Linked DNA regions of Stegostoma tigrinum. The protein of the gene in region 1 purifies or fractionates together with the protein of each later gene. This does not show direct contact. Links are inferred from orthologs where the notes say so. Each region holds a gene or a part of one and is shown on either strand. Other genes may lie near its edges.

Region 1 (3,747 bases):
AAGTAGCTGTCAAAGAACGATAATCCCTCTGGTCGCTCTTTTTGTGTTTCAATATTTCAATTCGTAACATTTCCCTTGCAAGTTTACTTCAGCTCACTTCTGTTGAAGAGTGCAGACTTAAAGAACTATCAGTGGTGGAGAATCAGACATGGGAGTTAATTCAGAGTTCCAACCCCTAATCCCCATGCAAGGGTATCCTGGTATTATCCAATGTACTGCCCTCCCCCGAGCCCACAAGTGACCTGGGCAACTTTGGCTACCTGCAATGCCAAGTGAAAATCCCAATTGATGCAGCTACAAGGCCTTAACAAGCCCTTTAGTTAAATCTGTTTGGATTCAACCAGCTCCCTGCTGCTTGCTGGTGGGCTGCCGATCAACCTTAAGGAGCACTCTTGAAATGGCTCAGGAATGTGTTAAGCAAGTAGTCAGTAACATTTTCTAGTCCAAGCACTGTTCAAAACACTACCATAAAAAAGGGACATGCTGGTAACATTAGATCAGTGTTTGGCAAACTTTACATCTCACATTTAAGCAACAAAATTGCAAATATGATTCTTCAAATGACAGGGAATGAAGCAGGTGGAAGTAGAGGGAGGGGCAGGGAGACTGGCTCTGAACACAGGTGCCCGTTACAGTAGGTGCCCAGATGTTCGGGTTTCGGCTGTCTGGAAACCATTGCTGCATCAGAACTTGCAATCTTAAAGCTGAAGTTTTGGGAAGCTCCAATTAGATGAAGGAGAAGGAAGAGTTCCATGAAGTGCAGCAGAGACTAGTTGGACAAAATAACCTATCCCAGCAAAAATGTTTCTCAACAGTTTGTCATTTTGCCCTTTTGAATGCCAGAATTACAATTAACTTGAATGGGAATCTACCAGCACACATTTATGAATAGCAAAAACTATCCCAACTTGTGTCAACTGGGTAAACATCAGGTTTGATGTATTGTTCTTGTCTGACCTATCAAGTTCTTGATACAGTTCATAGATTTGAGATATATTCAACTCAACTGTCTATTTGCAAACATCAGCACTGTACTTCAGTACTGTAAGCAATGAATTGCTGCAAACTGAAAAATGATTCACCAAAACATGCAAACTTCAATCACCTTTCTGTATAAAAATACCAATGGAGAGTCATAAGCTAATGCTGCCCATCCCTCAAACACCATGCCTCTTTAAAAATTAAAGATTTCACTGTCTCAATTTAATCTTTCTAGTCCAAAGAGAATGACTCGTTTGAAACCAGGAATGGCAGAATGTGATCTGAAACACAGTGCAGAGGACTGGGCAGAAGGTGTGCGGAAAAATGCAGCTAGATTTTGACCACAACAAAAAAAAACATGGAGGCCCCGACAAATCAAACCCAATGCTTCAAATGGTGAATTATATCTCCATCATTCCAAACCTGCAGTTATGATTTCACACAACAGGAACAAAGGAACACTGTTTACAGGCACCACCCCTCAGAATTACAGATTTTTGGGAGCTAATTACTTTAAAAATCAATGCAATCACTGCCTGCTTCTTTTCGAAAAAAAAGAGGAAACATTTGCAAGCGGCAGCCACCGTTTACTGCAACGTGACAGTCGGGCTATTTAGTCGTCGAGATGGCATGTCAGAAGCACTTGGAGGCAAACCAGAACGTTATTTTTGGATTCCCACAGCCCCGAAAACATGCCACAAAACACACCGAATCCTGGGAGCACCTGTTGCAGGTTTTGTTTCCTACAGCGTGGGTTAAAAGCAGGCTCATCCATCGAATTCGGATAGAGCATCAGCCGGGAAACAAAGTGTGGGATTTGCTTTAACAAAATAAAAGAGGCAGGTACGGATGAGTTAATAGCAAACCAGTGCAAGCTTTCCATTCGCTCTTAGGTTTGCAGAATCACTGCTTCACCCGCCACCCAGAGCACTGAAGGTGCTGGATCTCCTTCGTACCATACTCCCCAAGCCTTGCCTTGCCCAAACCAGCCCCTACGCCCCGGGCCCAACCCCAGCCTCAACTGTGTGGCCTAGCCCTCAATGGTCAGCCAGCAGCCGACTCCAGGTGGGGCCGGGCAGGGCTGTGCTGGGCTGGTCTGGGAAGGAGGCCCCGCAGACAGGGAGAGCAAGAGTGTCCGGGAACCCGCGGCCCAGGGCCTCGGGCTCACTTACGATGGTAACGCTGGCCTTGCGCAGGTCGCGGTTCTCCTCCTGCAGGGCCTTGCACTTGAGCTTGTAGGTCTCCAGCTCGATCTTCAGCACCTTGTTCTCCTGCTGCAGCGAGGCTAGCCGGTTGCTCAGCTCCTCCAGCTTGGAGGCCGAGATCACGATACCAGCCTTGGAGGCGGCCGACGAGTTGGCGGGCGGCAACGCCGATGAACTGCCCGCCGCATCCGTGTCACTCTCACTGGCGCTGTCCGCCATGTTGGAGCCCACTCGCTGCCTGATCCTGGGCTTGTGGAGGGTGTGCGGAGCAGGGCGGGGCCTAAGGGGGCGGTGTTCCACGATGGGCTGTGCCAACGCGAAGGGCAGCCCCCGGGCAGGGGGCGGGACTATAGCACGAGAACAGGGGCGGGGCGGAGCATAGGGAGAGGGCGGGGTAATTATGGGCGGGTGAGGCCCATTGCGGGGCGGGGAGATTGCCGGCGCTGGTGCACTGATAGGGGCGTGGCACGGTGAAGACGGCGCCTAAAGCCCACTGCAGCGGAAAGCGGTGGGCGGGGCACAAGCATGGTGGCGGGGCCAATGATGAAACTGGGCGGCTTGGAAAGCGGTGGGCTGTCCTGTCCTATGGAGTCGTGGCTTGGAGGGAACGCGAGGCAATTAGTGGGACGGAGGGCTTGTTCTGTAGGGGCGGGACTTGAGTGGTGGGGGCTTTGGGGTTGAGGGGCGGGGCCTATCCGTTAGGAGGAGTGTGCGCTTTGGGGCGGGGCTTGTGTCGCGGGTCCTCCGTTGTAGAGGCGGGGCTTGTGTGCAGTGCGGGACTTTCGGTTGGGGCGGGGCTTGCTTGCAGGGGCGGGGCTTGTGAGGGGAGATTTCTGGATGCGCAGAAAGGTGGAGGCCTAGGTGGACAGGGCAGTGAAGAAGGAATGTGGTATAGGTGTGAGGCTGGAAAAGCACAGCAGGTCCGACAGCATCCAAGGAGCAGGAGAGTCAACATTTCAGGCTGAGACCCTTCGTAAGGGCATTTGGACTGAAACGTTGACTTACCTGTTCCTCAGATGCTATCTGACCTGCCGTGCTTTTCCAACCTCACACCTGTACCACATTCCTTCCTCACTGTTCTATCTACCTGCTGTGCTTTTCCAACCTCACACCTGTAGACTCTGGCTTCCAACACCTGCAGTCCTTATGGTCTTCAAGGAACTTAGTATGCTCACCAATGCATTGAGTATAGGTGTTGGGAGATCATGATGTGCCTGTAGTGGACATTGGTCAGGCCAGTTTTGGAACACGTTTGGGCTGAATGTCCTAATGAAATGTTTTGGCCTGAAACATTGACTTTTTGCTCCTCGGATACTGTCTGATCTGCTGTGCTTTTCCAGGCTCACAATTCTGATCTCCCTGCTATAGGAAGGACGTTGTGAAACTTGAAAGGGTGCAGAAAAGATTTACAAGGATGTTTCCAAGGTTTGAGGGTTTGAGCAATGGAGCAAGGGTGGCTGAATTACCTGGGGCTATTTTCCCTTGAGCATCGGAGGCTGAGGGCTAAACTTATGGATGTTCATAAAATCATGAGAGATACGGATAGGGTAAATAGATAAAG
Region 2 (3,747 bases), on another chromosome or scaffold:
AGGAGCTGGGGGTGGCGAGGGAGAAAGGAGCTGGGGGTGGCGAGGGAGAAAGGAGCTGGGGGTGGCGAGGGAGAAAGGAGCTGGGGGTGGCGAGGGAGAAAGGAGCTGGGGGTGGCGAGGGAGAAAGGAGCTGGGGGTGGCGAGGGAGAAAGGAGCTGGGGGTGGCGAGGGAGAAAGGAGCTGGGGGTGGCGAGGGAGAAAGGAGCTGGGGGTGGCGAGGGAGAAAGGAGCTGGGGGTGGCGAGGGAGAAAGGAGCTGGGGGTGGCGAGGGAGAAAGGAGCTGGGGGTGGCGAGGGAGAAAGGAGCTGGGGGTGGCGAGGGAGAAAGGAGCTGGGGGTGGCGAGGGAGAAAGGAGCTGGGGGTGGCGAGGGAGAAAGGAGCTGGGGGTGGCGAGGGAGAAAGGAGCTGGGGGTGGCGAGGGAGAAAGGAGCTGGGGGTGGCGAGGGAGAAAGGAGCTGGGGGTGGCGAGGGAGAAAGGAGCTGGGGGTGGCGAGGGAGAAAGGAGCTGGGGGTGGCGAGGGAGAAAGGAGCTGGGGGTGGCGAGGGAGAAAGGAGCTGGGGGTGGCGAGGGAGAAAGGAGCTGGGGGTGGCGAGGGAGAAAGGAGCTGGGGGTGGCGAGGGAGAAAGGAGCTGGGGGTGGCGAGGGAGAAAGGAGCTGGGGGTGGCGAGGGAGAAAGGAGCTGGGGGTGGCGAGGGAGAAAGGAGCTGGGGGTGGCGAGGGAGAAAGGAGCTGGGGGTGGCGAGGGAGAAAGGAGCTGGGGGTGGCGAGGGAGAAAGGAGCTGGGGGTGGCGAGGGAGAAAGGAGCTGGGGGTGGCGAGGGAGAAAGGAGCTGGGGGTGGCGAGGGAGAAAGGAGCTGGGGGTGGCGAGGGAGAAAGGAGCTGGGGGTGGCGAGGGAGAAAGGAGCTGGGGGTGGCGAGGGAGAAAGGAGCTGGGGGTGGCGAGGGAGAAAGGAGCTGGGGGTGGCGAGGGAGAAAGGAGCTGGGGGTGGCGAGGGAGAAAGGAGCTGGGGGTGGCGAGGGAGAAAGGAGCTGGGGGTGGCGAGGGAGAAAGGAGCTGGGGGTGGCGAGGGAGAAAGGAGCTGGGGGTGGCGAGGGAGAAAGGAGCTGGGGGTGGCGAGGGAGAAAGGAGCTGGGGGTGGCGAGGGAGAAAGGAGCTGGGGGTGGCGAGGGAGAAAGGAGCTGGGGGTGGCGAGGGAGAAAGGAGCTGGGGGTGGCGAGGGAGAAAGGAGCTGGGGGTGGCGAGGGAGAAAGGAGCTGGGGGTGGCGAGGGAGAAAGGAGCTGGGGGTGGCGAGGGAGAAAGGAGCTGGGGGTGGCGAGGGAGAAAGGAGCTGGGGGTGGCGAGGGAGAAAGGAGCTGGGGGTGGCGAGGGAGAAAGGAGCTGGGGGTGGCGAGGGAGAAAGGAGCTGGGGGTGGCGAGGGAGAAAGGAGCTGGGGGTGGCGAGGGAGAAAGGAGCTGGGGGTGGCGAGGGAGAAAGGAGCTGGGGGTGGCGAGGGAGAAAGGAGCTGGGGGTGGCGAGGGAGAAAGGAGCTGGGGGTGGCGAGGGAGAAAGGAGCTGGGGGTGGCGAGGGAGAAAGGAGCTGGGGGTGGCGAGGGAGAAAGGAGCTGGGGGTGGCGAGGGAGAAAGGAGCTGGGGGTGGCGAGGGAGAAAGGAGCTGGGGGTGGCGAGGGAGAAAGGAGCTGGGGGTGGCGAGGGAGAAAGGAGCTGGGGGTGGCGAGGGAGAAAGGAGCTGGGGGTGGCGAGGGAGAAAGGAGCTGGGGGTGGCGAGGGAGAAAGGAGCTGGGGGTGGCGAGGGAGAAAGGAGCTGGGGGTGGCGAGGGAGAAAGGAGCTGGGGGTGGCGAGGGAGAAAGGAGCTGGGGGTGGCGAGGGAGAAAGGAGCTGGGGGTGGCGAGGGAGAAAGGAGCTGGGGGTGGCGAGGGAGAAAGGAGCTGGGGGTGGCGAGGGAGAAAGGAGCTGGGGGTGGCGAGGGAGAAAGGAGCTGGGGGTGGCGAGGGAGAAAGGAGCTGGGGGTGGCGAGGGAGAAAGGAGCTGGGGGTGGCGAGGGAGAAAGGAGCTGGGGGTGGCGAGGGAGAAAGGAGCTGGGGGTGGTGTCGGGGGGGGGCGAGGGAGAAAGGAGCTGGGGGTGGTGTCGGGGGGGGGGCGAGGGAGAAAGGAGCTGGGGGTGGTGTGGCGGGGGGCGCGAGGGAGAAAGGAGCTGGGGGTGGTGTGGGGGGGGCGAGGGAGAAAGGAGCTGGGGGGTGGCGTGTGGGGCGGTGAGAACGGAGAATGGGGGTGGTGTGTGGGGGGGTGAGAACGGAGAATGGGGGTGGTGTGTGGGGGGGTGAGAACGGAGAATGGGGGTGGTGTGTGGGGGGGTGAGAACGGAGAATGGGGGTGGTGTGTGTGGGGGGTGAGAACGGAGAATGGGGGTGGTGTGTGTGGGGGGTGAGAACGGAGAATGGGGGTGGTGTGTGTGGGGGGTGAGAACGGAGAATGGGGGTGGTGTGTGGGGGGGGTGGTGTGTGGGGGGGGTGGTGAGAACGGAGAATGGGGGTGGTGTATGGGGGGGGTGGGTTGTTTAGCCTTCCTCACTGTGAACCCTCCGACCACCCACAACTCTCCCCGGCTGAGAACTGAGTTGAGTTCCCTGCTCCCTCCCGGGCCTCAGGGCCCTCTCTCTCTCTCTCTCTCTCTCACGGTTTCACTCACAGGGTTTCTCCCGTCTTCGCGACATGACAAAGGAACTGGTCCAACAGCGACGACACTTCCTTCTTGGATTTCTTCTCGAAATCTGCCGGTGGGAAAGACACACACAGAGAGCACAGGTTATTCAAAGCCGTGGGGATCGGGATTCCCAGTCCCGCGGTGAGACACAAACCACCAACTAATGTTCGTTCGTCTGCCACCACTGACCTGACAGAGCTTCCAGGAGGCTCTCCGTCTCCATCTTGGAGGTGCAACTAAAACCGATTCCCCCTTTCCCCCCCCACCCCCGCGCCAGAAACCGGGACCCAGAGTACCACCGAATAAAGTTTCCCCCCGTTCCCTCTTTCAGTAGACAGCGGGCCCGGCACTGGGTGAAACACACAACATGGCGCCGCCCGCAGACGTCACTCCCATCGCACGGCGCGGTGGCGTCATCCACGCGCCTCGACGTGATGACGCCATCGCAGCTGGCGCAGGCGCGCATGAGCGGGCCTCCGAAGGCGAGGTTGACTGTCACGTGTGCGTCCCTTTCGCCCCACCCCCTACGTTGAGTATCATCACTGTGCGTCCTGGATATTCAATTGCTTCCCCAGTCTTTAAGCTCCTTTTTATGACGAAAGTGCGCCGAGGGAGGAGCTGTCCGAGGAACATTAAATTCCTACGCGTTTATTCCTGCACATGACGTAGAAATTGCGTGTAACAAGTGTGTTGGAGAAACTCTGTCTTCTAAAACTCTGTCTTCTAGATTGTGGCAAACCTGCTGTGTTTCTCTAGGTCTGGCGGCACCTGAAGGAACAAACTTTCCCCTATCTGGAGAAACCTCCCCCGCAGAACGGGCAGCCCTCCACTCCAACCCCAACCTCACCATCAAACCCGCAGACAAGGGTGGCGCAGTGGTAGTATGGCGCACTGACCTCTACATCGCCGAGGCCAGACGTCAACTCTCCGACACCACCTCCTACCGCCCCCTCGATCATGACCCCACACCCGAGCACCAAACCATCATCTCCAACACCATTCATGACCTCAACACCTCAGGGGACCTCCCACCCACAGCCTC

What was found. The genes of interacting proteins can lie anywhere in the genome.
Region 2: the proteins of ccdc6b (region 1) and ppp4r2b purify together in Homo sapiens (co-immunoprecipitation; 3 studies listed by BioGRID and IntAct, counting the BioPlex papers as one, with this or other methods). This does not show direct contact. The link is inferred for Stegostoma tigrinum from reciprocal best matches to the Homo sapiens genes CCDC6 and PPP4R2.

The regions. Positions count from the first base shown.
Region 1 is NC_081373.1:50,824,577-50,828,323, forward strand, and holds the start of ccdc6b (coiled-coil domain-containing protein 6b), read right to left. Parts: upstream 2,464-3,747; 5' UTR 2,406-2,463; coding exon 2,154-2,405; intron 1,791-2,153; exon of another isoform or gene 1,753-1,790; coding exon of another isoform or gene 1,690-1,752; intron 1-1,689.
Region 2 is NC_081364.1:39,750,832-39,754,578, forward strand, and holds the start of ppp4r2b (serine/threonine-protein phosphatase 4 regulatory subunit 2-B), read right to left. Parts: upstream 2,985-3,747; 5' UTR 2,929-2,984; coding exon 2,895-2,928; intron 2,773-2,894; coding exon 2,691-2,772; intron 1-2,690. UniProt on the Homo sapiens protein: Regulatory subunit of serine/threonine-protein phosphatase 4 (PP4). May regulate the activity of PPP4C at centrosomal microtubule organizing centers.